4 linked regions of the Alligator mississippiensis genome follow. The protein of the gene in region 3 interacts with the protein of the main gene of each other region in a pairwise test. Links are inferred from orthologs where the notes say so. Each region holds a gene or a part of one and is shown on either strand. Other genes may lie near its edges. The genes, in order: SMYD1, HIVEP1, BHLHE40 and RHOBTB3.

Evidence for each region.
Region 1: the proteins of BHLHE40 (region 3) and SMYD1 interact in binary tests that used the Homo sapiens proteins (3 or more experiments, as listed by UniProt). The link is inferred for Alligator mississippiensis from reciprocal best matches to the Homo sapiens genes BHLHE40 and SMYD1.
Region 2: the proteins of BHLHE40 (region 3) and HIVEP1 interact in a two-hybrid assay, tested with the Homo sapiens proteins (2 studies listed by BioGRID and IntAct). The link is inferred for Alligator mississippiensis from reciprocal best matches to the Homo sapiens genes BHLHE40 and HIVEP1.
Region 4: the proteins of BHLHE40 (region 3) and RHOBTB3 interact in binary tests that used the Homo sapiens proteins (3 or more experiments, as listed by UniProt). The two-hybrid records come from large-scale screens. The link is inferred for Alligator mississippiensis from reciprocal best matches to the Homo sapiens genes BHLHE40 and RHOBTB3.

Annotation. Positions count from the first base shown.
Region 1 is NC_081825.1:14,314,493-14,321,589, reverse strand, and holds the start of SMYD1 (histone-lysine N-methyltransferase SMYD1), read left to right. Parts: upstream 1-4,077; 5' UTR 4,078-4,148; coding exon 4,149-4,285; intron 4,286-7,097. UniProt on the Homo sapiens protein: Methylates histone H3 at 'Lys-4' (H3K4me), seems able to perform both mono-, di-, and trimethylation. Acts as a transcriptional repressor. Essential for cardiomyocyte differentiation and cardiac morphogenesis.
Region 2 is NC_081826.1:132,223,347-132,230,183, reverse strand, and holds the start of HIVEP1 (zinc finger protein 40), read left to right. Parts: upstream 1-3,829; 5' UTR 3,830-4,116; intron 4,117-5,054; exon of another isoform or gene 5,055-5,271; intron 5,272-6,837.
Region 3 is NC_081835.1:11,999,763-12,007,631, reverse strand, and holds the start of BHLHE40 (class E basic helix-loop-helix protein 40), read right to left. Parts: upstream 3,012-7,869; 5' UTR 2,790-3,011; coding exon 2,710-2,789; intron 2,575-2,709; coding exon 2,505-2,574; intron 2,097-2,504; coding exon 1,989-2,096; intron 1,002-1,988; coding exon 878-1,001; intron 1-877. UniProt on the Homo sapiens protein: Transcriptional repressor involved in the regulation of the circadian rhythm by negatively regulating the activity of the clock genes and clock-controlled genes.
Region 4 is NC_081826.1:239,081,140-239,088,757, reverse strand, and holds the start of RHOBTB3 (rho-related BTB domain-containing protein 3), read left to right. Parts: upstream 1-4,601; 5' UTR 4,602-4,927; coding exon 4,928-4,929; intron 4,930-5,079; coding exon 5,080-5,305; intron 5,306-7,618. UniProt on the Homo sapiens protein: Rab9-regulated ATPase required for endosome to Golgi transport. Involved in transport vesicle docking at the Golgi complex, possibly by participating in release M6PRBP1/TIP47 from vesicles to permit their efficient docking and fusion at the Golgi.

The sequences.
Region 1 (7,097 bases), on a different chromosome or scaffold from region 3:
CCATGACTGGCCTGAGAGCTGCCTGCAAACTGCTCCCCTTTGGCAGTCCCTGTTCACTGGCTCCCTGGTCACAGGCTCTCTGGTCACCTGGGGGGTCTCCTTTTATACCCTTCTGGGCCTGGGCTCACTCAGGCCGAGGCAGCAATCACACAGTCAGCAATCCCACAGCAATCAACAGTCACTTAGCACTCAGCGCTCACTTCCAGCTTCTCAGAGCACACACCTGCCAAACAAACAGACAGCCAGCTAAACCAAAGGTACAGGCAGCTGGATCACTTACCTTTTCTGGGTAGGATCTAGTGCCTGGCCTGGCTTCTCTCCCCCTCCCTCCCTCCCTCCTCTTGCCTCCAACAACTGCCTGCAAACTGCTCCCCTGTTGGCAGTTGCTGTTTGCTGGCTCCCTCATCACAGCTGGTTTTTTAACATGTAATGTTAAAAGAAAAGGTATCAAACTGCAAGGAAGTTACTAATGGACTTCTTGAAGGATCAACCTCTGGAACAATCTTGTTTAACATTTTCATTAACAGCCTTGACACTGTAGCAGGTCCAGTGCTGGGGGAGCAAAATCACCTCTCTGGGTATCTGCCTAAACTTTACTTGCCCCCTCTGACCTCTCAGGGTCCCACCCTGTTATCTTTCCTTCCATACCTTTATGTTATGATTGGACAGGGAGGGTGCCCCTAAGGTAGGGGAGTTGTGAGTGTTAGGCCCTTGTTTGGGCTGAGGCCCCCTGGCCTGGGTCCACTTTACTCTGGCTGGGCCCCTCCACCTGAGGTCCACTGTCTCAGGACTGTAGGCTCCTGGGCCCCAGCTCCAGCCACACCCTTGTAGGCTCTGGGCCTTTTGGCCCCTGGTCTCACCCTTGTGGGCTCTGGGCCCCTCAGCCCCTGGTCTTGCCCTCATGGGCTAAGGCTTGCACCCCCAATCCTTCCACTAACAGCAGCACTAGACCCTTTGAAGGGTCTAGGACCTGGTGTGTCCTTGGCACCATTCTCGGTGGCCTCCTCCACCCCTATAGCCACAATCTGGTCTTCCAGTATTTAAACACAAATGAAAAGATATGAGCATTTGCTCTCAAACAAAAGGTTCCCCATCCTGGATTAACACCACACTGTGGGAAAACCACCATGCCGGGCCCCAAAATACTTATCTTTGGCTGCCAGGTGTTGCAGGGGCTTCCTGCAGCATCCCTGCAGCCTGAAGTCCTTCCTCCTTGTCCGGTCAGGCCCTAGTCCTCCCTGGAGCTCTGCTTCCTACAGCCTGTGGGGCCAGACTGCCCAACTTGCTTCAGGTCCTGGGCTTTTATCTCTCTCTCTGGGGTACTTGAGCCACTACTTCCACCCCAGGCTTGTCAGTCACTGGCTGCACCTGAGGCAGGCAGGCATTTTATTCAAGGGCCTTCTGCCACCATCAGTTTGTCCAGGAGGCTGGAGTTGGCCAGCTGATCCTCAGCTCCCTCTCTCCTTCAGTAATGGGGTAGGAGTCCCATTGCACACACAAAATTGAGGAGTATGCTGACGGCAAAAGGTTAAAAGTATCATTCATATAGAGGTATATCTCATATCAAATCAAAACATGAAGCACTGAACTGCTATTGACTCATCTGTTTCTAACTGGTGTCCACTCTTCAACTGATGCACTTGCATTCATAGGAGTTGAGCATGAATATCAAGACAGATGTGATCAGCTTCAGCTTCTTGACTGGAAGGGATTCTTGTCTTTTGCCATTGCAGGGCTACTTCTTCGCACTCATAAGTTGGTGTGGTAGGGCACCAAGAGACAAAAGATATTGTAACAAATCCAAAGCCTTGGACTGCAGTTTCCCCTCTTCTGCACAGCGTGACTGCTCAGATGTTTGGATGGCAGCAGTACAACTCAGATCCTCTGCTTCAAAATCACAGACCCCCCCCAGTAGTGTTTAGCAATAAAGGTAGGTGTCTGGTTGGCTGGATAGCAATCAGAGCACTATTACAGATCACATGTGTGCTATGATTAGCCTGAATTTGCTTATGTTTCTGGAAGTAACTAGTTCATGCTTATCAGGCTCAGAACAACCTCGGAGTAGGTATTTATATTACTATGTGATTCCTATCGTTACTTCAGCTATTTTCACTAAAGAAGAATCTCCATTAACTCTTGGCTGCATATAAAGTCTAAGATGCAGAGTTGAGCAGTTTGGAAACTGTCCAAAAGATAGCAGTGGCACTCACGTATGCATGTGTACACACACACACATACACACCCCCCAGCACAGACAGATCTAGGAGGGTGCAGTGGTGCAGTTGCATTATCTCCTCTTCCCTCTCTTCCTGTCCCCACTTTGATTCCTGCTCCACCCAACTTTTAAACCAACTGCCTGGGTGGAGTAGCAGCATTTCTATTCAGGCAGCACTGAAGGAGTCCATTGACTTCTTGGCCCATTATCATTTCCCTGATTCCTGCTACTCTCTCTCCACTCCACGGTGTGTCAATGACTCTCTCTTTTTTTTAATGGTCCTTAATATTAACTTAAGTGTAGACATGGCTGATAGTGAAGTACTGGGAGCACTACTCAGATGCTCAAGATTTTGTTTTATGAATCTGACTAAGAGACATACATTTAAGTAGAATGACTACAGGACTAATGGCACAATATCTTTTGACTTATTTTAACTATTTTTGCCTAATTTGTTGTGTTTTTTTAAAAAACTGTGTATATAATCTATCAAATTAGCACACACTCCAATAATTGTATTTGTTTTTGCTTTGATCTTAAACTAAATCTTATAGTGCTAGCCCCCTAGCATACTAATAAAGCATCTAGGTTCTCTTTACTTGGAGAAAGATATGTGTTCTTTGATGCACCACATGAAAATCCTAGATCCATTTGTGTACACCAGCCTATTACATACTGCTCAAGGTAGATGCCACTCATCCTCCAACTCAGGCAACTTTGGGTGGGCTGACAGGTATTAACCAATTCATCTCTCGATCCCTCAGTTTACCCATCTGTTATGCAGACATAGCCCTTACTTCTCTCACAGAGGGACAGAGAGTCTACATACGTTCATGTGCGCAAGGCACTCTGAATTCCCAGTGATAGATGTGGTAAAATTACTGGGACCTTAGACATACAAAGTATTAATAAATAATACTGAAATACCAAATACCAATGCTGACTGGTTTGTTTTCACAGCAAGACTCTTCTTTCTGTTAACATCAGCAGAAATCTGGAGGGATCCCAGTGACTTCAGTGGTGTTATTTTGGTTTTACACTGATGGGTGCGGGTGAAGGGTAGAAACAATGTCCTATTTTATAAATCATTTGAGCTTGCTGGGGATATTATCCTCTTTTTACCTGCTTTGGGTCCAGTCCATCCTTTGAATTCCATGGAGTTGCATCGGGGATAAACACAGCCCTCAAGCTTGCTAGCATTTCAATGAGTTTAGTCTGTTGAACTCCTGACAGACAGCTAATATGTCATGCCTGCTTCTAAAGAGGCGCCTTCCAGCTCATTCCCTGCACTTCTCCAAGTCACTCAGTTGGCATGTGGCAAGCATCTCTCTTTTGTGCCTGTTTTCTGCAGCAGCAGATGGGGTAATTTTAGCCTGCATGTTTGACAGACCTTCCTCACCCTTGCCTCCAGCATATCTCCTGGAGGGTAAAAATAAAGCAGCATTGTTTGATTTCTGGAAGAACCTAAATGACAGTGGAAAGAACCCCAGACACACAACCCACCCACCACTTACGGCTGTCTCAGCTGTTGGCTCCTGATAGACAGAAGCATGTGGTTTCTAAAAATACCCTGTTAAAGTGAATGCATTCTCTTTCCAATGGGAGAGAATAAATTAAACTTGGTGGTCATAACATATACAAAAGCTTTCAAATGGCAGAAACAATGCCAATGAGTTTTTCAGATGGGCTTTTCCTAATGAAGCTGATGGCACTGGTAATGCATGACCAATCATTTGGCTTCTGTGCTTAGCACTGCATTAAGCTAAAGGGTTTCTCCCCCTCCCCTCCCTTCACCCTCCTATGGAAAATGGGTGGGGGGAGGAGGCAACGTAGTCCATATATAGGACTGGTCCTGGGTCAGGCTGAAGGTGTTGAAATAGCAGGAGTGACAAGAGAGTTGGCTCACTCGCATTAGGAGCTGGGGTTCCCTGACATGACAAAAGGGGGAATGGAGACGGTGGAAGTGTTCACGTCGGAAGACAAAGGCAGGGGTTTGAAGGCAGTCAAAGAATTCCTGTCTGGGGAAGTCATATTTGCGGAGCCTGCTTATGCGGCGGTGGTTTTTGATAGGTAAGAGAAAAGTTATTGTAAAGTAAATGCCAAAGCCTGCTCCTTGCAAAAGTCTGATGTGGCTGCAGCTGGTGTTAACTTGATAGAGTCTGGATAGCATCAGTGAAGGCTGAGAATCTGAGTAGTAACACTTCCTCGTGAGTCATTTGCAGCTTGCCACAACGCTCCTCTCATTAGGACAGAGTGATCATCCCGCTTGTGTGCCTTAAATACACTGTGACCTGCTACATGGACCTGAGCTTACAAAGTGCTCTCAGCTTCCTTCATTGTAGTTGGAGCTGAATTAGTTCAATGGACTGCAATATGAGCGATGCAAGTGCTGTTACAACGAGTCCCTGAGTTCGCTGTAAAAGATCCCACAAGGTGCTGCATGGTAGAGATACAGTATGTCATTGTGCTTTAATTGTGCATATGCCCCCTTAATATATACACAGAGAGAGAGGGCACTAATGCTTAAAGTCAAGAGGTCCTTAACATATTCATGTTACTGGCAGTTTATCAAAACTTGATCTTGCCTAGGTCTCTTTAGTCAATCTTTCACTCGGTGCCTCTTTAAAGACATCACCTGCTTCAAGGCAAATGGTTCGAGACAGAGAACTTGGGAATGTTTTTGTTACTGCTAAAATGGTTTTATGCTCATGCCTGAATGAATGAAGGGAAGCTGCTGTATGACAGTTATCTTTGTAAGCAGATATTAGCTTTTTTGGCTTTTGTTTAAAGTAACCAGCAAGTGAATCCTCATGTAAATGCATGTTTAGTTATGTTATTTGTCTCAAGCTCTTTATTTTTCTATAAAAAATTGGTGGATCAATTTTCTTCACAGATGTAGGCTTTGAGTACCTAATTCCGCCCTTGAGGTCAGTGGGTTCTGCCCAAATAACCTAAAAGCTTCTACACAGCAGGCCATATTCATATTATGTTAATGTGGGAAATCCAGAATAACTTCATTGACCTCAGTGGAATTACTCTACATTTATACGTGAATAATTGAGCACAGAATGTGGCCCAAACATCATAAAGGAGCAACTAACCTTCATGTGCATTGCTTTCGTTCTGTACTTCATAACGGTCTAAACATTTCTCAAAGCACCTTGTAAATGAATCCTGGGGTTGAATTCTGCTGAAAACCTCCAGTGACTTTCGAATAATGTTCTGTATGTGAAATAAGGCAGGACGTTACTTACCTACTAAAGCTTTCTTTGAAAAACATTTCTTTTAAGGAGCTCTAGGGTGGTATCAGACATTCTTTAGTTTTAACTGTCACCATGTAGTGCTTTGCTCGATCGCCCACAATTCAGTGAGCTTGTTTACTAATGCTATGTCATCAGGCAATATCAGAGAATTAATGCTGAATGAAAAAAAGAAGAAAATAAATGTGTGGACTTAGTTACGCTTGTATCTTTTCACTCGTTTTTTCTCTGTCGCTGTAATATCAGTGGGGGTACAGGAGTAAGAACCTAGGATAGTGGTAACAGAGATGTGGTCTTTATTTGCATTTTAATACGTCATTGTAAGAACTGCTCTTGGAAAAGGTGACTGCCACCACCATATAACCTGGACTTGAGTTATGCCTGTGTACCACTTCAGTTAGTCATGCTATGTCAATCCCTGAAATAGATTCAATTGACTGATGGACAGCCAAATCCTGCTCAGAGTGGGCGAGATTCTAGTGCTCATCTTTATATTAGCACCAATGCTAATTTATTGTTGAAATCAATCAGAGTCTTTCCATTACCTTCAATAGGCTTTGCATTGGGCCTTCATTTGACCCGAGGTTGCATTGGAAGCATTGGTTGGGCCAGTGGAACAGGTACTAGTTAACATGAGTAGGGGATGGCAAAATTCAATCCAATCTGCTAACTTGACTTCCATGGAAGTAGGACCAGAACTGATGATTACTGATTTATTCTTAAGCATTGTCTATGATACTGGTAATTATTCCATCCAACCTGAACTAGGCTGAGTCCCAAGGAGCCTGATTATGAACTAGGACTTTTATGAGCAGTTGGTGAATTAAAATGACTCTTAAAGAACACCCAAGTCCAGGAGGAGACAGCAGTGGATTATACACAATGCTCGGACAAGTTCTGTAAAATAAAATGGTTTGATTCATTACTTTCTCTTTAAATGACACTCCACATTGCGGCTAGTGTGAAATAAGGCAACTCCTTCAGGGCCTCATCTACAGATAGCTCATACACCCTTCGTGGGAGCCAGTTATGCTCATGCTAGAGGTCTGGCTTTTCTTCACTTGGGCATTGTCTACATGTACAAATGATGCGGGATGGGTTTACTTCAAAGTACTGTGGAGTAAACCTACCCCAGGCAGGCGTCTACACATGCTGGGATGTGGGAGCAGATTTGCTGCTTGTGGCAGCAGCCTGCACCCACCCCCTCCAGCCCTGCACCAGCCCCCTGCAGCAGTCAGGGGGAGTTCTAGGCTCACCCTGGGTGCTAGCCCTGGAGCTAGTAGGGGGCATGGGGCCAGGAGACAGCTGTCTCCTGGTGGGGACTGGGAGATTGCTCCCTGCCCCCTAGAGCTACCTGCTGCGAGGATGGGCTCTGCCACGGGAGCCTGGGTGCGGACAATGTCCCTCTGCCCTGGCTGCAGGGAGCTCCTGGCCCCGGCTCTCTAACTGGGGGCAGGGGGCTTGGAAAGAGCTGCAGAGAATCCACGCCCAGCCAGGGGCTCACTGCTATCTGTCCCACCAGCGGATCAGAGCAGAGGTCTAGGACCTGCCCCCCCAGCTTTTTCTAAGCCCTGCACCTCAATCACTCATTCAGGGCACGGGGCTGGGACGTGCCCCTGACC
Region 2 (6,837 bases), on a different chromosome or scaffold from region 3:
TCTGTCTGAGGAAAGGTCCAGTTAATCATTTCCTGAGTTAGGGTATAATGAAATATCAGTAAATTACACCATACTCTCTTCCCAGTCTGTCCAGATACCATTCTTCCAATGACCCCATTTCGTAGCAGGAATGGCCATCAGCGGATCTCTGCGTGACTGAGTTCTTTGAGAGAAATACTGAACAGAACTGGTCGGAACTTTTTTCAGTGGGATGTTTTTTACCATCCGAAAATGCCACTTCATTGAACTGAAATCATTTCCTGGGAACCCGCCAATTTCCTATGGAACACAGGCAGGTTTTTATCAGAAACCTACCTGGTTTCTTGCCAGCTTGTTTCCCTGATCTTTGGCAGCTGGCCAGACAGGCTGCCTCCAAGTTGGGACCTGGGTTTTCCAGGATCTGCAGCTGCACATCAGTCACCTGGGAGACTACCCCAGGGCAAGCATTGTAAAGCCCTACCCCCCCTGCCCCTCCGCCCCACCCAGCCTTTTGCTTCCTGTTATGAAGCCAGCCTAGCAGCCCTGCAGTGGCTTCAGGGCTTCCAAGGTCCTTGTCAACTGAGGGATCTCCAGGCTTCCAGGATCTCTGATGCAGAGTAAGAATCTGGAAACCTGGGAGCTACAGCTGAGCCAGGAGCCTCAGATCCTGGGCTCCCAGACATCATTTTGTTGAAAATGTTTTCATTATATCAGTACAAAATATTTACAGTATTTCTTTCTTGCATTTAGAACTTTGTACCCTGGTTCTGAAATTATTATTTTTTCAGAACTTCAGAATTTCCCTCAAAACTTCCAACCAGCTCTAATAATCAGTCTAAGCTTTTCTCAGCTCCAGGTCATGGTGCGGTGGACAATATAAAAAAAATCTGTATTTGCTGCCCAGATTAACCACAGTGCCCAATTTTACCACTATGCTTTATGATCTTGGTATCTAAGAGCTGTGGTAAAGTCAAATATCGTATAGTGAGTTTTACTACAGTGTGGTAAATACTGAATGATTTAAAGACCCCCTCCTGTGTTCTGATTTTTCCTACTCCTATTTTATATATCTACCTGTTTGGCAGAAGGAAGAACAGCTTTAAATGTGCACCGCTATGCAAAAATATCTATTTGAAAGCATAAATTTAGTGTGTGTTTGTAGATAATCCTGAAACTGGAGTCCCTTTGGAAAGTACTGCAAACATTCAAGAGATTTGTGTTTTAGAAGTCTGTCCACCACTCTCACATAGGTTCATCTGAAAGGAGATTCTCTTAGATGGGATTAATATTAGATGTAGTTTTTAAAATATCTTAATTTTGTGATGAAAGAGGCTGCAGTGTGCATTTCAGTGAATAAAAATTTTTAAATGTCACTGCTTTTTTTTTTTAATATCCTTCCTTCTCAGGGTTGGGAGAGTACTTAGACACCTGCTAATAATAACCATATAGAGCACCATTCCTTGCATCTCAAAATGCTTTACCAGGTGATTGTATATATTGGTTTGATTTTACTAGTAGCAACTGAGACAGAAAGAGGTAGCGCCTTGGCGAAGACCACACAGGCAGGCAATAACAGACAGAAAAATAAATCTGACATCCAGTCCTTCCAGTTCTGTCAGCTGTGCCACACTAGCCCCCTGTATTCTAGAGCTGTGAGGGTCAACCATTTTGGCAAGTGTGCCATGAATTAGCCCTCCACGAGTACCGTACTGATCCCCTTTCCCCTACTTGATCAGCTAGGCTGCTTTCTGCTTCCTGTCCAGTGCTCCCTGCCCGATCCGCTGTTCTCCTCTTTGGTCCCTGGCCTATCTACCGCTGTGCTGGCTGTCCCCTTGCTGATCTGACATGTGCGGCACAGAGGCTACTCATTCCGTTTGTGGTGTGCGTACCACAGGTTGGCTGCCCCTGTTCCAAAGAACTAAATCTAGCCAATAATGGATACGAAAGATGAGAAGGGACCTTACCAGCAAGGTCTAGAGGCAAATCCCTGCAAAAAATCTCACTTCGCTTCTATCTGATGGGAAATGTCTTTGAGTCTCATCAGTGTGTTGCACCAGGACACTGTTTGCCACTTGTAATTAGTCTTTTAATATAGGTATATGATAAAATTCCAAATACCACCCTGACCTCCAGGCAGAAAATGGAGCTAGATTATAAGAAGTTGAGTATCTTTTTTTTTTTCTCCTTCCCTTGTGACAAGTTCTGTTGCTTCTACTGCATGTGATACAGATAGCTTCACCAATAATGTGAAGCTGAGGCGTGACTGTGACACACGCTCATCAATGTGCCTTAGCAATGTGAAACTAGGCTTGGAGTAGCAGTAATGAAACAGCCTTGTGCTTTACTCTGCTGTTTATATAAGCTAGGAGCAGGACAGAGACACTAGAGCTGTCTGCAGACTCGGAAGTATATCACTGTATTGGTTCATACTTGAAATTTATTATAAGGGTATTCAATAATGTTTTGCTTTTACAAAAGCGGAAGTTCTTCAAAATAGCGATGACTTAGGCCCTGCAGTCATCAGAACAGTTTTTTATTCACCACAGGCAAATGCATTGTTAAGCTCCACTCATTCCAGCTGGCACCAATTGGAAAAAATCATTTTGTCTGTACATAAAAGTGCCAAAATCATAATCTTGTAAACACGCAGAACTTCATATCATATGTGCTTGTGAAATTGAGATTTGGTTAAGCAACATATTGTCAGGGCTAAGAAGGAACATTTTTTTAAAGTTATTTTTGTTATTGTTCAATAGCACATCTGCCTTTTAAAGATGTGCAAGGGGTACACACAGATTGGAGCCCAAGGGCAGGGTTCGAATTAAACTTTGACTTTTGTTCGGGGGTCTGCAAAAAAAAAAAATGTAAACGGGTTCATTGATTAACATTCCACCTAAGTGAAGGAGCAATCTGATTGGAGACCCTCCCCCCCATGTTATGATTTTCAAATCTTGTAGGGAGCTCTTATCCCATATGGGGGGGGGGGGGGAGGGCTCAGCCTCCCTGAGCTCCCCCTTAATTTGCACCCTGCCCAAGGAAACACTGAACCCAAGCAAGACATCATTAGAGATCTTTCAAGTGGGTTTGTTGTGTAAAGACATAAACAGACAAGGTTTTTTGGGTAAATGTGATATCTTTTGTTCGACCAACTGAATAGTTGGAAAACTTTTCTTTGCAAGCTATTGGGCACAAGCACCCTTTTTCAGGCAGAGGGAGGGGCACCTGAAGAAGGGCATTTGTACCAGAAAGCTTGCAAAGAGCAATTTTCCCAACTATTTAGTTGGTCTAATAGAAGAGATCACATCTACCTGAAAGCTTGCAAAGAACAATTTTTCTAATTGCTTCATTGGTCTAATAGAAGAGATCACATAGTTTCATAGGTGCTAGGGGCTGGATCACTGGGTCCAGCCCCCCTGTACCTGGGGCTCCCCAAAGAACCTTGTCTACTTAGGTCCAGACCCAGATACAGGCATGGACAAACCGGGCAGCTGCCCAGGGCCCGGACAGAAAGAGGGCCTGAACATGGTAATTTGCTTCCCCGTTGTCTGATTTATTCTTATCATTATCTTTGGTGAAGGTGGCCCCGATACTAAAAGTTCACCCCGGGGCTGCCAGGGGCCTGGGGACGGTGCTGCCTGCGTTCTTAGCACACTACCCCCAAACCAGCAAAGGCACAAGGGCACGTGTGTGTGCATTCAGATGCAGCCTGAAGGGTAACCCAAGCTGCAAAGATCCAGCTGGGAGGGGACCCTACGTAGCAGTAAAAAAAGACGTGCCTTGCTTCTTAACAAAACAAAACAAAGCCGAGGCAAAGGCGTGTGCGAGAAGAGGAAGCAGGGATCCCTTGCCACCCGCTTCCCCATTCACGATGACCCGCACGCAAAACAGAGCGAAACAGCTGATGTCGGAAACCAATCACCGCGGCACAGCGGAGAAGCAGCAAAACCCCAGCAGCAGCAGCATCAGCAGCAGCAGCAGGCAAGGGCCAAAAAAGGGGAGCAGCCGCGGAGAGCATTAGGCGCCTCCTCCTCGTATTTCCTCTCACGCCCACTTCCAAGAGTGGAGGGGTTTTGCTTTCGGCGCCCGTCGCCCGGAGATGAAAAGTTAAAGCTGGGAAAGGAGTTGGCGCCGCGCGGGGTGAGCTGCTGCTTTTGATCTTCGTGTATTTTTTTTGGCCGGCGGGGGAGGGGGGCCGGTGTGGCCCCCCGCGGTGCGCGGAGGAGGGGACGGAGCGCGGCTGGGAGCGGCCGGGAAAACCCAGCGCGAGAGCAGGGGAAGGAGGACGCGGCGCGTGTGACCTGCCAGCGGCAGCGCGCAGGAACCTCCGGGATCTCCGCGTCAGCAGCAGCAGCAGCGGCAGCAGCCCCGGCGCTGTGCACGCATGGCAGTGCGTGTGTGTGTGTCTGTGTGCGTGTGTGTGCAAGGAGACGGGCCGCTGCAGGGGGGAGCGCGAGGCGCAGCCGGCGGGCCCGGCGCCCCTGGCTGCCAGCCGCCGGGGGCAGAGCGCAGCGCGGGGACTTCTCGCTGCGCGCTCGGCCCGGCTCCGCCGCACTTGTTTTTTGCCCTTTGTCTCTGCCTTCAGGCCCGGGGGGGCGGGGGAGCAGCGCCGGCTCGGGGGCTCCAGCTGCTGCTTCCCGGGGGCTCCCCCGCCCCTCACACGGGTCCCAGCCCGGCTCGGGGGCAGGGCCGGGGGCTGACGTGACTTGGACACCTGCACTGACAGGACCCCCCCCCGAGCTGGGGGGAGGGGCAGGAGGCGGCGGCGGCTCTTGGGGGAGGAGGGGGAGAGAGAGGGGACTTTAAAATTTTAGTTTATTTTATTTGATTTTGTTTTTGGTTTAAATGCCTGCTCGGAGCAAGGCTGCGCGCTCCCGCCCGCGAGGGAACCCCCTCGGTGACCCCTCCCCCCGCGGTGACCCTGTGCCCCCGCCCCGCCAGGCAAGGGAAGGGGGCGGTGCCGGGAGCCCCGATGACGTCACTGCCCCGGCCCGCTTCCTGCAATAGAAAGTGAGAGAAGGTAAACCCCCCCGCCCCGCCCCCCTCGGAACTGCCGCGTTCCCCCCCAACGGCCGCTCCGTGCGGGGGGTCCCCGCGGCCCCGCCCCTCCGCGGGGGTAGTTCCCTGCGCACAGACGTGTCCTCCCCGCCCCTCCCCCCGGCATGGCGGGGGCGGGGCCGGGGCAGCCCGGGCCGGGTCATGGTAGCGCTCGGCGCTGCCGGGGCGGGGAGGAGGTGCCGCCGCGCAGGGGTCGGGGTCGCCGCGGTTCCCGGCTGCCGCCATCAACCGCAGCAGGTTTGCAGCGGGCGGGGGGCAGTCGCCCCCTCTCCCCCTCCCCCCGCGCTGCCGGGGCCGCCCCCCGGGGGTGGGGGAGGGGCGGCCGCCGCCGGGGGCGCGGCGCTTTGTTCGGCGCGGCGCTGCGGAGGGGTTTTCCCGGCTCCTCCTCCCGGGCCCCGTTCGCGGCTGCTTTTCCCTTCGCAGCTCTACTCCGCTCCGCTCCGCTCCGCTCCCCTCGGCCGAGCACAGCAACCCCCTGGCCTGGAGCCCTCGTGGGGAAGGAGCCCTTTCACGCTCCCCCGGCCCCTCACGCCCCTGGGGCAGCCGCCGCCGCCGGGCCGCGGCGTGGGCGGGGCAGGAGGCGGTGGGACGGGCCCCCGGGAGCGGGTCTCGACCGCCTGGCGGGAGGAGCCGCGGGGCGTCCCCGGGCCCTGAGAGGTGCCCCCTGCCCGAGGGATCCCGGCCTCTGTTTGAAGAGGGCGTTTCAACATTCGTTGTTTGTTTTTTGTGCAATGGAGGTGCTCCCATGGGGGCGGTGACAGAAGTGGCAGATGAAGCCTTTGGGTTTTGAAGCCACCTTGGGCAGCAGCTTAACAGGGGGCCAAAGGGAGGCTTCGTGCTTAGAAGAAGTCGGGCTCCTTGCAGGGGTGCCTCACACTGGGATAGTAGAGGGTCCTGCCACCGGCTAGATATTTGGGGGGGGGGTGGGGTTATTTATTTATTTATTTAGCAAATGCAGATCTGTAAAGCCAAGTAATAGCCTCCTCCTTAACTGGTTTCAAAGCTATTAATCCATCTCTTAGTCTGTAGAGGGGATGCTCCTAGGGAAGGGTGGCATTGTTTGTATCTCTCCACAAGCACAGGGCGGTTCAGCGCTGAGGCCCCAGCGGTGAGGGTTGGCTGCACAGAGGCCTTGGCCTGCCTTGAACCTATTTAGCAGGGAGGTGATACCTTTTATTGGACTAACTGTATATGCGGAATAAAGTTAGAGGAGCTTTCCAAGGCTAAGTGCACTTCCATGCATGGTTGTTGGGCCCAGCTATACAGTTGGTCTAATAAAAGATATCCCCCCCCCCCCCCCGAAAAAAAGTAAATGCAATATCTTTTATGAGACCAACAAAGTAGTTGGAAAAAAGTTCTTTGCAAGTTTTCAGGCACCAACACCCCTTACTGAAGGTTGACGTTTTTGGCCACTGATATTGCATTCCATGTCACTTAGCTTTTTGAAGTGTAATCCCCTTCCCTCCCCCCCCCCCCCCAAAAAAATCATCACACTACTGGATGTAGTTGTTTTTATCTGGTACTTTATTATCATGACTCTTAGGAAAAGGGACGGTACAATCCAGCTTTTGTTTCTATAGCCAGTTCTTTCCTTCACACAAAGACAAGCATGAGAAACCTTTTAAAAGGAATGGCAACCTGGCATTGTAAATGCACAGCAACTTGTAGGCAACAAACTCTTGTAAACTGGTTTATTGATTTGCAGTAATGCAAATTGATGATGTCCTTAAAAAAATCAATTGGAAATCAAATGCATTATTTGTAATACCTTGAATGATAAAGATTCCACCTGCCTGCATATGC
Region 3 (7,869 bases):
TGACTTCACGCTACGGTCAAGCTGAATACCCATTTTTACCATATCCATCTAAGAATGAGTCTTCACATACAAGTTTCACTTTTCAACTCATTATATGTGGCAATCAGATGCTAGTTTGAGAAGAACAGCAAAAAAGACTCATCAGGAAAACACCTATTCCACAGCCATCGGAAAAAAAAAAAAGTGCAAGAGTTCAAACTTTCCCCCTCAGTTCCAGACCCCAGGGAGGACTGGGCTTAAACTTTGACAAGTGACGCCAGCTCTGGCTGTGTAACTCTACTGCACACCCCGTGGCTGTGGAAAGAGTAGCAGCCTTCTTAGAAAAGCTGATTTTATCCTACCAGATGCAACCAAATGCCGGAAAAGAAGGAGGTACGAAACAGATTTAGAACATCATTAAGCCCTTTAGACTGGTTCCCCCTCAAGCTGCGAAGGGTAGGCAAACTGATTACTGGAGAGACCAAAAAAGTGTGGGTTAAACAGATGCTTTCGTCTGTTTGAGAAAAAAAATAAATAAAAAATGTAAAAGCTCATCAAATCAATGGAAAGATTCTGGCCAGTGTATCTTTGGATTAGGCCGCCCAGTAAAAATGTACTTCCAAATGAAATATTTTAATATTCAGTTGAACTGAAAAATGAAAAAAAAATCATGGCCAAGTATAAATGAACCAAATAGGGCATCTTTTCTGCATGTGGGCACACATACATGCTGCAGGGAGAAGGGTGCAGGAGTAACTAAAGGAGTGGGGGAATGTGCTTACATGTCCCTTCTCCAAAACCTAGTCTCGTAAGTCACCCATATTTCAAAGGAGCTGAAAGCGAGTTTGCTCTGCACACTAGGACTCTCACGTGATACAAGCATGACTTGAATACTCACCAGCTTGTAAACCACTCTGTAATGCAATTATTTTCTGCTGCTGCTGCTCTATGAGATTGGTCAGCGCTTTCACGTGTTTCAAGGTAAGTTCAAGAACCACTGCCTTCTCCAAGTGACCTAAAGTCTGGAAACAAAAGGACACATAAGTACAGTTCTGATGAAATGAAAGAGAGTTACTGCCATGGGAGAGAGCTAACAGTGTCCTTACTCTGCAAAATCTTTTATCCTGAATAATAAGTGGCTCTGACTCCACAGTTTATGTAAGCCATAAAAAAAAAAACAAGGTGGTGCTGGCTGCAGAGAAAGCTGTAGTTATGTCTTATGAGTATTTTGGGACCAACTACATAGCTTGGAGGAAAGTATCTTATTTATCTGTTCTGCTACTCCTGCCGGTATCGTGACCTTAACACCAGGGACTCCAATCAAGGGTTCTTTTGAACAGCGACAGGAGAGGGGAAACCTGCAAAGTAGCAACCAAAATAGCTTTCCCCAATAAAGTTCTGCGATAAAAATATACTTAAAAAACCCCCAGCCCCTTAACACTCATATTTTGAAAACCAGAAGTCCCGAATGCTACAGCAGGAGAGGTTGCTACCTTGAATATCTACTCCACTATGTGAATGTAGCAAATCATTTAAAACTTGGCAGTAGGTAGCATTGAAACAAAATCTAAAAGGACCGGACTGTGGGATAAATTAGGGATCGTCTAGTAACTGGCATCTGGTCCTACTTTGCAAAGAGCAGCATGAAGCATTTCCAAGATCCAAAAGGAAATGCCCAAACCTTTGCCGAACGATGTTAAAATTCAAGCGTGCATTAATGACCTTTACAAGAGGCCCGATTTTACCATAGCAGCAGCTCAGGTCTTATCTTTCTCCCTCCCTACTGCATTACAGGCATTGGTATAGAAATTCACTGCCTTTGCAAGGAAATCTAATGCTAAAGGAAGATCAAAGTGGCAACTCCAGCCAAATCTCAGCCTTTCCCAGCCTATGCTGCAGTGCTCAAAGGAAGCCTCTAGATGGCACGTTTACTTGCACAGAAATCCAGGAGACCCGCACGCACCCCAAAAAGGAAGAGGAGCTTGGCCAGTAGCCAGATTTTCACTTACTGTAAGTTTGAGATGTTCTGGTAAGAGATCTTTCAGTTGGGCGATGCACTCGTTAATCCTATCCCGCCTTTTCTTTTCTATCAGCCTGTGGGGCAGCTTGTAGGTCTCCTGCAAACCAACAGCGGGGAGAGAAAGGTGGCTAAGTCAGTCAGCCCAGATCCCAAATGAGTCCCTAGCACCATGGAGAGACACAGCGATCAGAAATGATCTAGAAACTAAAACGCGACCTCCCGGCGATGTCACCAGGGAGCTCGACTGGCTTCATCCCTTGCAGAAGCATCGCTCAACTCCTGCAAAACTCGGTTGCCCTCCTTCCCCCGCTGCAGGAGACGCGGGTTACGCCAAGCGCAACCGTCCCACCTCCAAGAAACCTGGAGGCAGGGCAAGGCAAGCTGTCCGGGCTTCTCTCCCACCCTTGTGCGCGCGCTAGCAAAAGGGCACCCCCGGCCGCCCCAAATCCGGGCGGCCAGCGCCAGCTCTCTAGTGGATGGCGCGGGCGAGGCGGGCTCCTCTTACCTTGCTGTCCTCGCTCCTTTTCAAGCCTCGCCGGGGCTTGTAGACCTGGTACATGTGGGCGAAGTCCAGCCTGCGCACAGGGGGAGAACAAAGCGGCGTTAATTTTAATCGAAGTTCAAGCCCCGTCCCTGCTGCAGCCCCCTCCGCCCCGGGGTCAGGTTCAAGCCCGTGCCCGGCTGGGGGCATCCGCAGGGCCGGGGCTTACCCGGGCATGTCGGGGCTGTCCAGGGCGGGCAGCTTGCCCAGGCACACGGGCGGGGGCTGGGCGCTGGGGATCCTCTCCATGGCCGGGCGAGGAGGGCTGGTGCTGCGGCGCGGCGCGGCGCGGCGGGGCCGGGGCTGGCGGTGGCTGGGGCCGGTGCAGCGGGCGGCTCGACTCAGCGCGGGCCGGGCATGCCGCTCCGCCGCGGTCGGCAGCGACTGAGCGAGCGAGTGAGGAGTCCGGGGGAGGCGGCAGGCTGGGTTAAATGGGAGCGGGTGGGTGGATGGAGCGACGTGTTCTACCCTGTGACTCCGGGCACGTCTGGCGGCGGCGGCGGCGGGCGGGGGGAGGAGGAGGAGGGAGGGAGGGTTGCCGTCACATGAGCCTCACGTGGCGGACACCGCTCTGCTCCGCTCAGCTCCCCCCGCCCGCCCGCCCGAGCCGCCGGCGGCTGCGGCCGGAACGTGCGGGGGAGCGCCCTGCGGCCGGCACCGCCCCGCCCGCCCGCCTGCCTGCTGCAGCCTCGGTGTGCCCACGCGGCTGCCGCCCGTGCGCCCCTACGTGCCCCCCCACACTTAGTGCTCCTAGTGCACCCTCCGCGTGCTTCCAGTGCACCCTTAGTGCCCCCGCTGCCACCTCAGTGAGCCCCCAGTGCAACCCCAGTGCATGCTTAGTGCCACCTCAGTGCCCCACTGTCTCAGTGTCCCCAGGGCACCCCAGTGTGCTTCCAGTACACCCCTAGTGCCCCCCACTGCCACTTCAGTGAGCACCCAGTGCAACTCCAGTGCACTCTTAGTGCCCCTGGTGCAACCCCCCACACTTAGTGTTCCCAGTGCACCCTCAGTGTGCCTCCAGTGCACCCTTAGTGCCCAGTGCCATCTCAGTGAGCCCCCAGTGCACCCTAAGTGTGCTTCCAGTGCATCCTTAGTGCCCCCAGTGCCCTAAGTGCCTCTCAGTGAGTCCCCAGTGCACCCTCCATGCCTCCTCAGCGTCCCTCATTGCCCCCCATGTGCCCTAACTGCCTCTTCCATGCACTCACTCAGTGCACCCCCAGTTCCCCCTTAGCGTCCCCCCACTGCCCCCTCTGTGTCCCCGCAGCACGCCCAGCTTCCCCCTCACTGCCTCTCCAGTGTCCCCAGCTGCCCCTTCAGTGCCCAGGGCTCTGCCATCTGGGGACGAGTTCCCCTCCACCCCAGCCTGGGTCCTGGCCCATGAAAGAAGAGCCAGGCTGTGGGCGCAGCCAGAGCCAGCGCCCCCCCGGGTGTTTTTGGCTGGATGGGGAGAACCAGGGTAGGCTGCAGGGCTGCCCCACGAGGCTGGAGCAGGGCATCCAGCGCCAGGGCTGTCGTGCGGAGGGCACGGGACACTCCCGTGGGAAAGCGCTGGGATCTTACATAAGGCAGAGGTGTGGCCGGCTTAGTGGTCTGAGCCGAGCCCAGCAAACCCGGCCCTCCCTCCTCTGACACGGGCGCCTTTGACCTTGGCCAGGTCCCTTCGGGGCTGTGCCCCAGCTCTCCCATCTGCTTGGCAGAGCCGGTAATACTAACTCACCTCCCTCGGAGGGGTGTTGTTCAGATTAATTAGTTGACGTCTGTAAGAGCACTTTGAAGCGGCTAAGCGCCGGGTATTATTCTGAGCAGAGCGGGCAGGGCTCCAAGTCTGTGGAGCACAGCAGAGGCAGAGCACGCTGGCTGCACCTGACTGCAATGTGTTGAGCTTATTATCCGTGTTTAATGGAGTAAGGCAGGGCGGGGGAAAGGCATTCATAAAACACAGTGCCAAAAAATGACTCTTCTGAGCACTTTCAATTGAAAAATTGCCACAAGCGGCAGGGAAATAAGTGAGAGAGGGCCCCAAAGTCACCCTAGGCAAATGCTTTACCACCCACTGAAAGAGACTTGCCACCCCAGCTGAGCTATTACATAATCGTGGCAGCTCTCCAGAGGGAACAGACGCAGAACATGCTACATCTGTTTTCAATGTATTTAGCTATTATAAAAAATGTCTATACTTTGTAGTAATCCAGTGGCTAACAGCTTGATAAAACGCAGCTCCAGATCCAACACATTGCGTCATCCTTAGTGATTTCCACATGCCGTTGTGCGGCTGGCCCGGGAATATCCCAGCCCAAATGTCAAGGCGTGGGAATGGCACTGAGAGCAGAGAAGCATTTGGTGGTTCGAACAAGGCAACATGCAAGACGTGCGAGATGAGGGGAGTGCAGCTGAGCCAAAAGGGACAGAAATCAGGGCGAGGGGTTGGTTTCGCTGATACCACTGCGAGGTCAAAGGCTGATTGAGTACAGCTTCACTGGCAACGTGAGCAGGACACTGAGGGCCCCAGAAATCCTCATGCAAAAAAGGAAGGCGAGGCATAGTGCTCACAAAGGAAGCTGGGTTGCCCTGGCATCCATTTCTCTGACTCATTTACTGAAGGTGGAAGCAGGACCAAATGTGTATCAATTTATGGTAAGCCCTTATGGTGGTAGGAGCTCGTATCCTGGGTTCTGACAGGGGGTTAGGACTTCTAGATTTTGGTCCCACTGCTGCCAGGGGTTGCCATGGGACTTTCTGTAAATCACTTAAGCTTTCATGTCACAATTCTCTGCTTAGCTAGGGTCCTTTTATGCTGTTTGGGTACACATATGGGCCTTAAATTGGGTATGGATGCCTTTGAGGACATCTGTTTTCCACTCAGAGCCCATTGTAGCAGTGGATGGGAGTATGGCTAAAGTCCATTACTCTACAGGCAGAGCCATGGGAAGCAAAGTGGAAGCGAGGCCACAGAACTGAGGTTGCTGTAGCTCAGGACTCATCTACACTATATATATATATATATATATATATATATATATATATATCAGCCTTCCTATGCTGGTGAAGCCTGTGATATTTACCTGTATGCCCATACCATTATATGGTATGGGCATACGGGTAAATATCCTGAATATGGAGACCATATTCCAGCATGGTTTATTTCCCTTCACTGAACTGCAATAAACATCTGTATGCAAGAAAACTGTGGCTTCACTACTATGTTGTGGGGGGGAAAGAGGGGCCAGAAATGGTACTGCTTTAACCACACAGGAACAGCAAATTTGGCAAAACCTTTAAGTATACACGAGGTCTTAAGTGGAGAGCCAGGAAGACCCCTGAAAAGCATCCAAACTCCACAAGTCCAGGAACAAAATAGGCAAGAGCAGGGCCAGCCATGAAAGCATTGCAAGTAAGTAGCAGGACTTACCTATCTTAGTGGGGTTTGGGAAGGTTTAACTCTTTGATCTCTTTGATTCTCAGATGCCAGCTATTATGCAAATGCTAACAGTGCTTATGGTGGTGTAGCTGCCAAAGCAACCTATTGATTTGGAGGGCTGGGATCATTTTCCTTGCTGCACGTGGCACAAGTAGAGGCAAGCTCACAAGACACAAGGTATATTTATCCAGATAAGGTGCTAACAAAACTTGGCACGGAAAGTTTGTCAAAGGTTTCCCTATCTCATCCTGTGGCTCCTGGGACCGTCAGGAGCATGAGGTCAACAACTGCTTTGCTGGTGAACAGAGATAATGTTTTATGCTAGTATAGGTGGCATGTTCGTTTCAAAGTACACCATCATTGGATGAGTGTGTGGTTGCATGAGAAGCCTTAAGAGAGTTTAGTACTGTTGACCTGTGACTTCAGAGGGTGATTCAGTTGACTCTACTCTTGCTAGGCCCCAGAGGTCAGTTTTCTAGAAACCGTAGTTACAAGACCCCTGCGGTATCCACTGCTTAAACAATGAGCCCGTGGTGGTAGTGACTGAGAGCATCAAAACAAAACTATGCTGTGGGGATCTGGTCTCATCTGTGTTTCATAGCTCCAGCCTGAAACTGTATGACCCAGCCTAGCATTCATTGCCATGGCCAGCCACTCATTTCAAACATCTTCAGGTCTTGGCCCTTAAGACATGATGTGGCAGACACTTATATGTTTAAGTGCCAAGGTAGTTGCGTTGACTTGAAAGGAGTTACTCATGTGCTGAGAATTAAGCATGTAGGGCCAGGACCTTCAATTGTAAGCTCTTCAGAGCAGAGATTGTCTTTATTAATGTTTCCCAGGGTGGCACTTAAATACATTTGGTAATAACTGTCACAAAAGTGAGGTTGACTCATTGGCTGTTAATTACTACAACTGCGATAAATATGTAAAGCAAACTGCATAAATAATGAAAAGTAAAACTCTTTGTTTTAAAGATCTAAGCTGCTTGTTGTGACACTGAGGAGGAAATGAGAAATGAGTTTAACCTACTAGTCTTGTTTCACCATCTAAAATGTTTCTTTATCAAAGCATAGGAATAATTAAGGTTCATAGCAGCAGGCTTCTTATGGCAAGGTCCAACTTTTAGGGTCAGGGTTTGCTATTTTTTCTTCGTTCTGAGTTTTATGTTTAAAGTCAAAATAGATGCGGGCCAATGCATGCACGTGGGCTGTTTGACTTTTGCCTGCTCTGAGAGATATTTAGTGCATTCCTGCAATGGGTGGTGAGCTACAAAGCAGGGTCAGAAGTAATCCCCCATGATTTAGCCCTTTTACCGGGCGTACGCTTGCCAAACAATACTCTGTATCAGGATTTACTGATGACCTTAAGGGTGGTTGGCAAAGATCCCCCTAAAAAGAGGGCCCCTCATGAAGTTATTACATTCTTGGGCATCAAGTTCGATTGAGGGAGAATTGAATTACACTCTTCTGTCGAGCTACTGCTTCTGCTTCCATAAACTAAGGCTGATGAGGTTATCAATTTGCTGCCACAGTTTTGTTTGCAGAGCTCCCTCTCCATGGCAGGTTCTTTTATGACACCTCATAGGGACTAAAGCAAAATGGTAAAAGAACTGGCATTATTTTCCAGAGCCATTAAGGGAGAATCTGGCCTTTTGAATGGTAGTTTTAGAGCATTTGAGTATCATAGGATAGCAACAGCTCGTGTCCAATGGGGATTTGTAGTTATTTACAGATACATTAGCAAGGAAGGGCTTGGATGTTGTTTTCCAAGGTGTGCAAGGGCTGGCTAAAGGAACTGAGTGCATGGAGCTTTCTCCTCCAGAGCAGTTTCCCTCATAATTACGAAAATGGGAATTTTGGGATGCAAAGTTCCTAAAATCATTGGCACTTGTGTCTGATTAGAGAATAT
Region 4 (7,618 bases), on a different chromosome or scaffold from region 3:
ATCTTAACCTGATCTCAGTGTCCAATTTAAATTAAACCATCGTTACTTCCACTGGCCACAGCCTCTCATTGATTTTGCTTGATTCATCATGTCTATATAAAATTCTTCCGGTGTATTCTCCACTGCGTACTTGAGGCTGTGTGTTTGGGGATTGCATCAGGCAAAGTGGTTCCTCTTGTTACAGTTAAAACAGCTTTCTAAATTCAGCACAATGTTTGCAGGAACGTTGCCTTCTACTTTTAGTATATGTCTGCTTATATGCTCTCTCTCCCTTAGCATAATCCTTGCCAATGAAAAATCCTTTCCCTGTGAGGTGGCATTTTTTGGCTATATTTTTTGAGGCCTACTGCCTGAACGACCCTTTTTGGTGCACACAGCTCTGCAGCCTGGGCCCTCACAGTTTCTGCTCTCTTGCACATTTGGATAGTCTTTTCTAGTGACAAATCTCCCTAATACAATAGCCTTTTTTATAATGTAGTGTTTGTGATGCTACAAATAATCCTGTCTCTAATAAGAGATTCTGTCAAGTTCCCAAAAGCACAGTTCTTACTCAGGCTTTTTAGATCAGTAACATGCTGGTCTATCCTTTCTCCTGTGGTTTATTTGCACATTAAACATCTGTGTTTCCAGCATCTCATTCTTTTTTGGCATGCAATATTCCACAATTTTGGACAGGATTTTACTTAATTTCATATCTTTTTTGAAGGCAAAAGTGTTACCAGGTCTTCCTTCTCCACAGTATGCAAGATAGATGAATTCACTGTGTCTTTTCTCTTCAGGCCCTGTGGCTGCTAGGTAGTACTGAACGTCCTCCAGTTAGTTCTCTGCTAATATTGCCCAATATCAGAAGAGCAGGTGGATGTTGCAAAACTTCCATAACTAGCTGTCCTTTTACTTAACCTGTGGGTAGATCACTTATGGTGGCCCTTGTCCTTTCACGTGGCTCCGTTGCTTCACTTATTTTCAGTATTCAACTTTTTTTCAGTTTGAATCTCAACTCTTTAAAGTTCTTTCTCATTTGCCACTTCTGTTACCTTGTAGTGACCACCAGCTTCAATAAATGCAGACATACATGAATGAGAAAAGCTAAAAAGCAAGTTTTATTAAGCAAGTTCTACAGATCCCCTGTCTGGCTCTAACAACTGGCTCACTAGCTGCTACCTGAAAAGTGCAGACAGAAATGACATTTTTCAAGTCATTTCAAGATCTGGTCCTTGAAAGTGCTCCACAGCCGTGACTAACACACATGCATGGCTGCAGAGCACTTTTTAAATGGTCGATTGCACAAAAAATTAACCCTGGTTAAATCATGTATTACATTAAGGAGCTCAAAAACAGAGTGCCTGAGGGAATTTGTGTTCCCTCCAGGGTTAATTTTTCATGTGGGGGGCAGAGCTGGGCTGGTGCTCAGTCCCTCACCTGGGCTATCAGGGGGGAGAAGAGGGAGCTGCTGGCTGTTGAATGGCCAGAGCTGGGGGGAGGGAATGGGGAACAGGGCAACCCTGCCTCATGGCTGGGGCCAGGCCCTCCAGGGAAGGGGGCTCCATCTCCTCCCTCAGCTCTAGCCATCCAGCAGCCAGCACAGAGCAACCAGCTGCCAAATGGCCAGAGCCACGGGAGGAGTGTGGAGCAATAGGGCCCCCTTGCTTTGTGGGCCTGACCCGGCTCCCCCCAGTACCCCAGTTAGGATAGCTGTGGGGGCCAAGAAGCAGAAGCAAGGGGGACCAGTTCCCTGCCATTCAGCAGCTGGAAGCTCTCTTGTTGACAGCCCTGGGGGAGGGGCCAAGGCTGGGGAGAAGGGTGGTTTGGCAGCCTCCTGGAAGGCTGCTTGAGCCTGGGCCAGTGCCAGGCTGGCTCCAGCACCCCTCTCCTGATCCAACAGGCAAACGTCGTTGGGCTGGGGGGTGCTCTGACTCATGGTGCTTTATATAAAGTGCCATGAGATAGATTGGGGCCTGTTTAATGTCTGTCTGCACCCTGAGAGACCATCTCCCATTTTCCAACTCCCTCAGTCTCCTGTTTTGGAGCCTGTCTAAATTATAACTTCTGTCACTACACACCCGTCTTGGGGGTCTGTTTAATTTACAAGATATATCAGTCTCAGGCCCAGTAACCCTTCTGTGTTCTGGTCTTTTCATACAACTGAGGTAGTTTCAGAGTTACTCATCCCTAGAGTTCCTTGTTAATTAATTCATACCAGTGGGTCTCAACCTTTTTAGATTCTGTGCAGGCCAGGAGCAGTCCGAGGCTCTCGGGGGCGCGCAGCGGGCTGTGGCCAGCAGCCCTGGCACGCGGGTCGGGGAATGCAGGCCGGCGGGCTAGAATTAGGCACGGACATGTAGCGGTTGATTAAAGATTATTTTACTTACACCGTAGATGGTCGCGGTGCAGGCAGGAAAACTTGCTTGAGTTGCAGTTACAGACAGAAAAGAAGAGAAGAGGACAAGAGTTCCTTCCACGCGAACCTCTAGCCCAATCCGGTTGAAGGCTCTAAACACGCGAGCCCATCAGTGTCAACCGAAGAAAACAACTCGGAGAAAGAGCTCTGGATACACTCACACGAAGTTTGCTAGGCTCCGTGGAACTTGCGCGCAGGGAAGGGGTTCGTCAAGGGATCGTTCGGCGACAGGGAGAGGCCAGAGGTTGATCAGACCCCTATAGCCTTCTCAAGGTACGTGCTGGGTCCGATAGGCTCCGCAGTGCTTAGAGATCTTCACTAGATGTGAAGTTCTCCTCCTGATAGTTGTGGAGTCCTCCAACTTGGGCGGAAACCGCTCAAGCCTCTTATACAGCTAGCAAGCCAATTGCTAGCCGCCACGTGGGAATAATTTAGAACTGGCCAATAGTGGGACACAAATTTGCATGCGGGTGGCGGGAACTCCTTTGCACCGTGCATTTCTCTTTGCAACTGAGAAATGCACCCTGCAAAAAAAGCTCCTTGTGGCGGGAAATAATTTAGCAGTGCCGAAGCGCATGCACACAAAATCACACCCTTGGGTTGTGACAGATTTAAGGTACTTCTCAGAAAAAGTCATCTCTTTTCTTTTACTTGATTTCAGATTACAGAAAAAATACTCTGCTTTAGAGTACCATTTCTCAAACCGTGGGTCGCAAGAATACACGGAGGGGTCACAAACAAACCTAAAAAATGGATCAACAAACTTTAAAAAATGGATTCTCCTTTAAAAAGGAGAAAAACTTGGGAAACTGGCTTTTCCCCTGCAGGCTGGCTGAGTTCCAGGCTACATGGGGGCCCCCCCTGTCCCACACACTGGGGGCCTGGGTGCAGCGTGTCAGGAGTGAGGGGCACTGGGTCAGGATGATTACAAATGGGTCCTGGTACAAAAAGGTTGAGAAACACTGCTCTAGAGGATATCTAAGTGCAATCAGCCTGGAGTCGAAAAACAAGCTGTTACACAAGCAAAAGGCTGCAACTGGTCTCCTGTGAAGGCTCTTCTCATCTGGACTGCCTTTCTCCAGCAGTGCCAGGTCTTAAATATGAAATTATCATATTGGAAACTCTAAATTACTATCTTTGCTGAAAAACTGTTGTACACTGAAAAAAAAGGAAACAAGTCTGCAAATAAGTCTTATTTACTTTCTATTGCTCACTGTATCTCCAGTGAGTGAGTGAGAACTGGGTCATCCAAGTTGAAGCATTTCTGTATTTCAAGGGAAGCAGTCATAAAAAGTACAGACAGCAAACCCTCCCTAGCTTGCTCCTTGGGGCCGAATGGCTGGGGGAAGCAGAACTTGGGGGCATCCGAACCCCAAGCTGCTGGGCTTGGGCCTGCACATAGGATGCCCGCCTAAGGTTTTGGGAACATCAGAAGCCCCAGATGGGGGTGGAGGATGTTTGCCAGTAGTAGGGCCACTTACGGTTCTGGACTGGCCCTCAGATTTGGAATTTGTTTTGGCTAATTTGGCTTGGAATATGGAAAATTTAAATAAATAATGAAAAACCCCAGCAAACCTGAAAGACTCCCAGAGTGCCTTGTGTTGTACATAGGCCATATCAGTTACCTGCTCCGAAAATTATTGGGTAGCCAGGTTGTAGCTGTATTGGTCTAGAGGCAACAAGGAACCCGGCCTCATAGTAGAGGTGGTATGTTTTATTAGACCAACTAGATTTTTGCAAATGTTTTTTGCAGTTTTTTTTCCCCCCAAAAATCTAGCTGGTCTAATAGAAGATTATCACCTCTACCACGAGTCCTGCCTCAAAAAAACCCCGATCGTCCACTTGGAGCATGTATACTATTACTGATCGTGCATTGTACAAGGGCTGGAACAACCATTCAGAGGGGATAATTACCGCCCACCCGGCAACGCCGCCTTTGTGCCCCCTCCGTTGCTGAGGTCCTCTCTAGCCAGTTCAGCAGGGCTGCCTGGCCGCAGATTGGCTGGCAGTGAGCTCATGTATTTATGTAGCTTTTTTTCCCCGTTCTGCACAGCAGCAGCAGTGCACTGGGCAGCCTCCCTCAGCGCAGTCAGCTGCTGCCTTGGCCGGAGCGCCTTTGTCTTTCTGCTGCCCCGGCTGCGCGGTGTCGGCGCTGCAGAAATGTGCAGGCTCCTCATTGCGTGTATTACGCTCTTAGGTAGGGTTTATTGACGTCAGGAGGAGGCAATGGCTGAGCCCGCGGCTGCCGCGCTTGGTGCTGCAGTCCCCTCCAGCAGTAGCAGATGATCCGGGAGCAGGGGCTCGCGCTGCTGCTGTCGCTGTCACGTGCGGTTACACACACTGACTTGCAGGGGCCGGAGCACTGAAGGCCCCCGGGAGGCACTGCACCCCGCGGCACGACTGCTTGAGGTGACATCCGTGAAGCTGCCTGTGGAAATGGAGGAATAAAAAGCCAGAGGAGTTGGGGCTCTATGATGCCGGCAGGACTCTTTCCCCCCTTCCTCTCCTCTTGCTCTCGGATTTGACATCATGTATGTGGTTGATGGCTGGGTTTTTAGGAACGGCTGAAAGAAGAGGCTGGAGAAGCGTTTAGTAGCCTTGTTCTGATTTGAAAGGATCTTTTTTTTTCTTCCCTCCTTTGCTAACAGTAGATGTTTCTCACTTTCTCCTTATTGTTTTAGGTCCGTTCACATTGTAGCCTTTGGCAATGAAAGGGAGGCCTTTTCAGAGGAAAATCAGCAGCCCAGTCTGATTTGGACCTATCTGGGGAGAAGCGCTCTCATTTCAGAGACTGAAAGCAGTTTGTTGCTGAACTCTGCCAGTCACGTTGGAAATCCTGTTTTCACTGAGTATCAAGCCCGCGTGTTTGGAAATGTCAGGCTGGTGGTACATGACTGTCCCCTTTGGGTAAGAATCTAGGGTGAAACTTATAAGCTTAATTTAAAAAAAAATGGAGCTGCTCCTAATTCAATGCGGTTTTTATTGAGTCTGCCAATTTCACAATTGGAAACAATAAACCATTAGAAGTGGATTTACAATTTTAAACACATAATCACCCAAGGATATTCTCCCATAACCAACAAGATGAAAAGCCCCTTAGCAAAGCCACTGCCTACTGACCTATATGAGGAGGCAATATTTTCAACTCGCTTGTTTGGTAAAAACTGCATTGAAAAGAATCCAAAAGAAAACAAGAAACCTTTTGTGTGGCTTGAAAACCAAACTCTCTCTCTGAGTTATCAAAATGTTTTCATATATGCTTTGCTTTACTGCTGTAGGGAAACACTTGGAGAGGGAATCTGTTTCCCAGAAATAGTCCAGCTTTGAAAATTACTGAGACATTTTGTAATGGGGCAATTTGGAGTTATGGTGTATGAATTCTTTTTTTTTTTTTTTTTGTTGGTTCCTGTTTAAATGTGTTGAATTATCAAATGCTGAAAAGCAATTCCTGAGCCAGAAAAAGAGAGAGAAACAGTTTTTGATACTGTTCCATTAATTCAGCACTTCTGTTTGGAAGTAAATTTATTGAATCCTGAGCAAAAATTGACTTGTTACTGACCTTGTGAGTTTAATGGAGAACTGATGGGTTCTCACCAGATTTAATGTTTGTGATTATTTCAGAGCACTGTTCTTTAGGATTGTTGTTTAGTCAGATATACTTAAATTCAGTTTCATAATATTACTTAGAGCCTCGTCTTGAAATCCTTGCACACACAAAATTTCTCTGTAGAAATTCTGAGTGGAAGAACTCAGCGATCAGATGCCTTGTTCTCCAGTGGTAGCCATTGTGCTCTGTGTGTGTGATGACCCGGTCAACTAGAATTGAGGGCCCAGTTTTGAAAGTTTCACCTTGCATAGTATTTGCATGTGTTGGTCTGTGGAACCACACCTCACCGTAAATGCCATTCAATATGAATAAAGGTTGGAGAATGGATGTATAATGAGACTGGAGGATATCAATAGAAGAAACTGGAAGGAGGATTGGTAAAGGTAGGGCAAGGTTGTGTGGTCCTGGAGAGTGTTCACAAATTTCAAATGTTTGATTGACCTTTATCAGTATTTGAACTTCTGAGCTGCTGAAGAGAGAGCAAAATTTTCAATTCTGGAGGCTGTAGGTTTGCAGAAACTAAATATCAGTAGCAGCAGCTTATATTGTTTTGACACCTCCTCCATGTTTCCTGAAGTGCTATACTCTTCTATCTCCAAGCTTTCCCAGCTGGAGCAGATAAAGAGTTTTTAATATAGTGGGTATTTTTTTGCTTACTTGGAGTGGGTAGTTGTATAATTGGGTTCTCTCTACAAAAGGCTGGTGCTTGCTGTGGAAGAGACTGTTTTGGCTTCTTTAGCTTGCTCTTTGGACTGTTACTTAGACTTATATTTGATGACTATGCCTCTTCTGTGGGAATAGGCCTATGGAAATTATAGAGGTGCTCCTGCTTGTCACAGGTGATTTGGGACAGATCCAAATTGTTCTTATAAGCACCTCAATTTAGGTACTGCAACACCTGAGAATTACATACCTTGCCCCAGTAAGGTGAGCCAAACTAACAGGCTTAGGCATCTAGATACCCCCTAGGAAATTAGATGCAGGAGTTAAACCAGGTAGCCAGTATGCTAAGCAGGGAGATATCAAGAATTAGTTAATAGGAAATGCTGGAAATAGGAATGTGAAAACTCCTGCTTGTCTCGGGCTCAGATGCATGACTCAGGGCTGCACAAAAAGTCTTAGGCACTTCCATAAACTCAGGGTCCAGAAGTAAGGTGCCTTCCTGAACAAACACCTAATGCATACTGACTGTTCAGTACAAGATGCAGGACATTAGGGTTGCTCTCAAACACAGCCAGTGTCAGTGGTAGTGCTGGTGGCTGCTTTCTGCATAATAGATTGTTAGTTGGAAATGGGAGGGTGCAGAGCTTCCTCATTTTGAGGGGGCTGGAACCCACAGTTTCCACTTCCCAGGAGAGTGCTGTAACCACTAGGCAAGCCGCAATACAATTCTCTAATCAGAGTGAGTGCTCTTCCTGTTGAAGCTGTCTCTTTGGGCAGGATTGCTGATGTGAATTTTTTCTGAAAGTGCATGGATACTTCTGTCTAGGTGTAGAGGTATCTTTTCAGACCAGAATGAAGATGCAGATTGAATCTCTAGGCAGTTGATTGAATTGTAGACAGTAGAATGGGGTTGATCTGAACCTAAATCTAGATCATCGCCTAAATTTCAC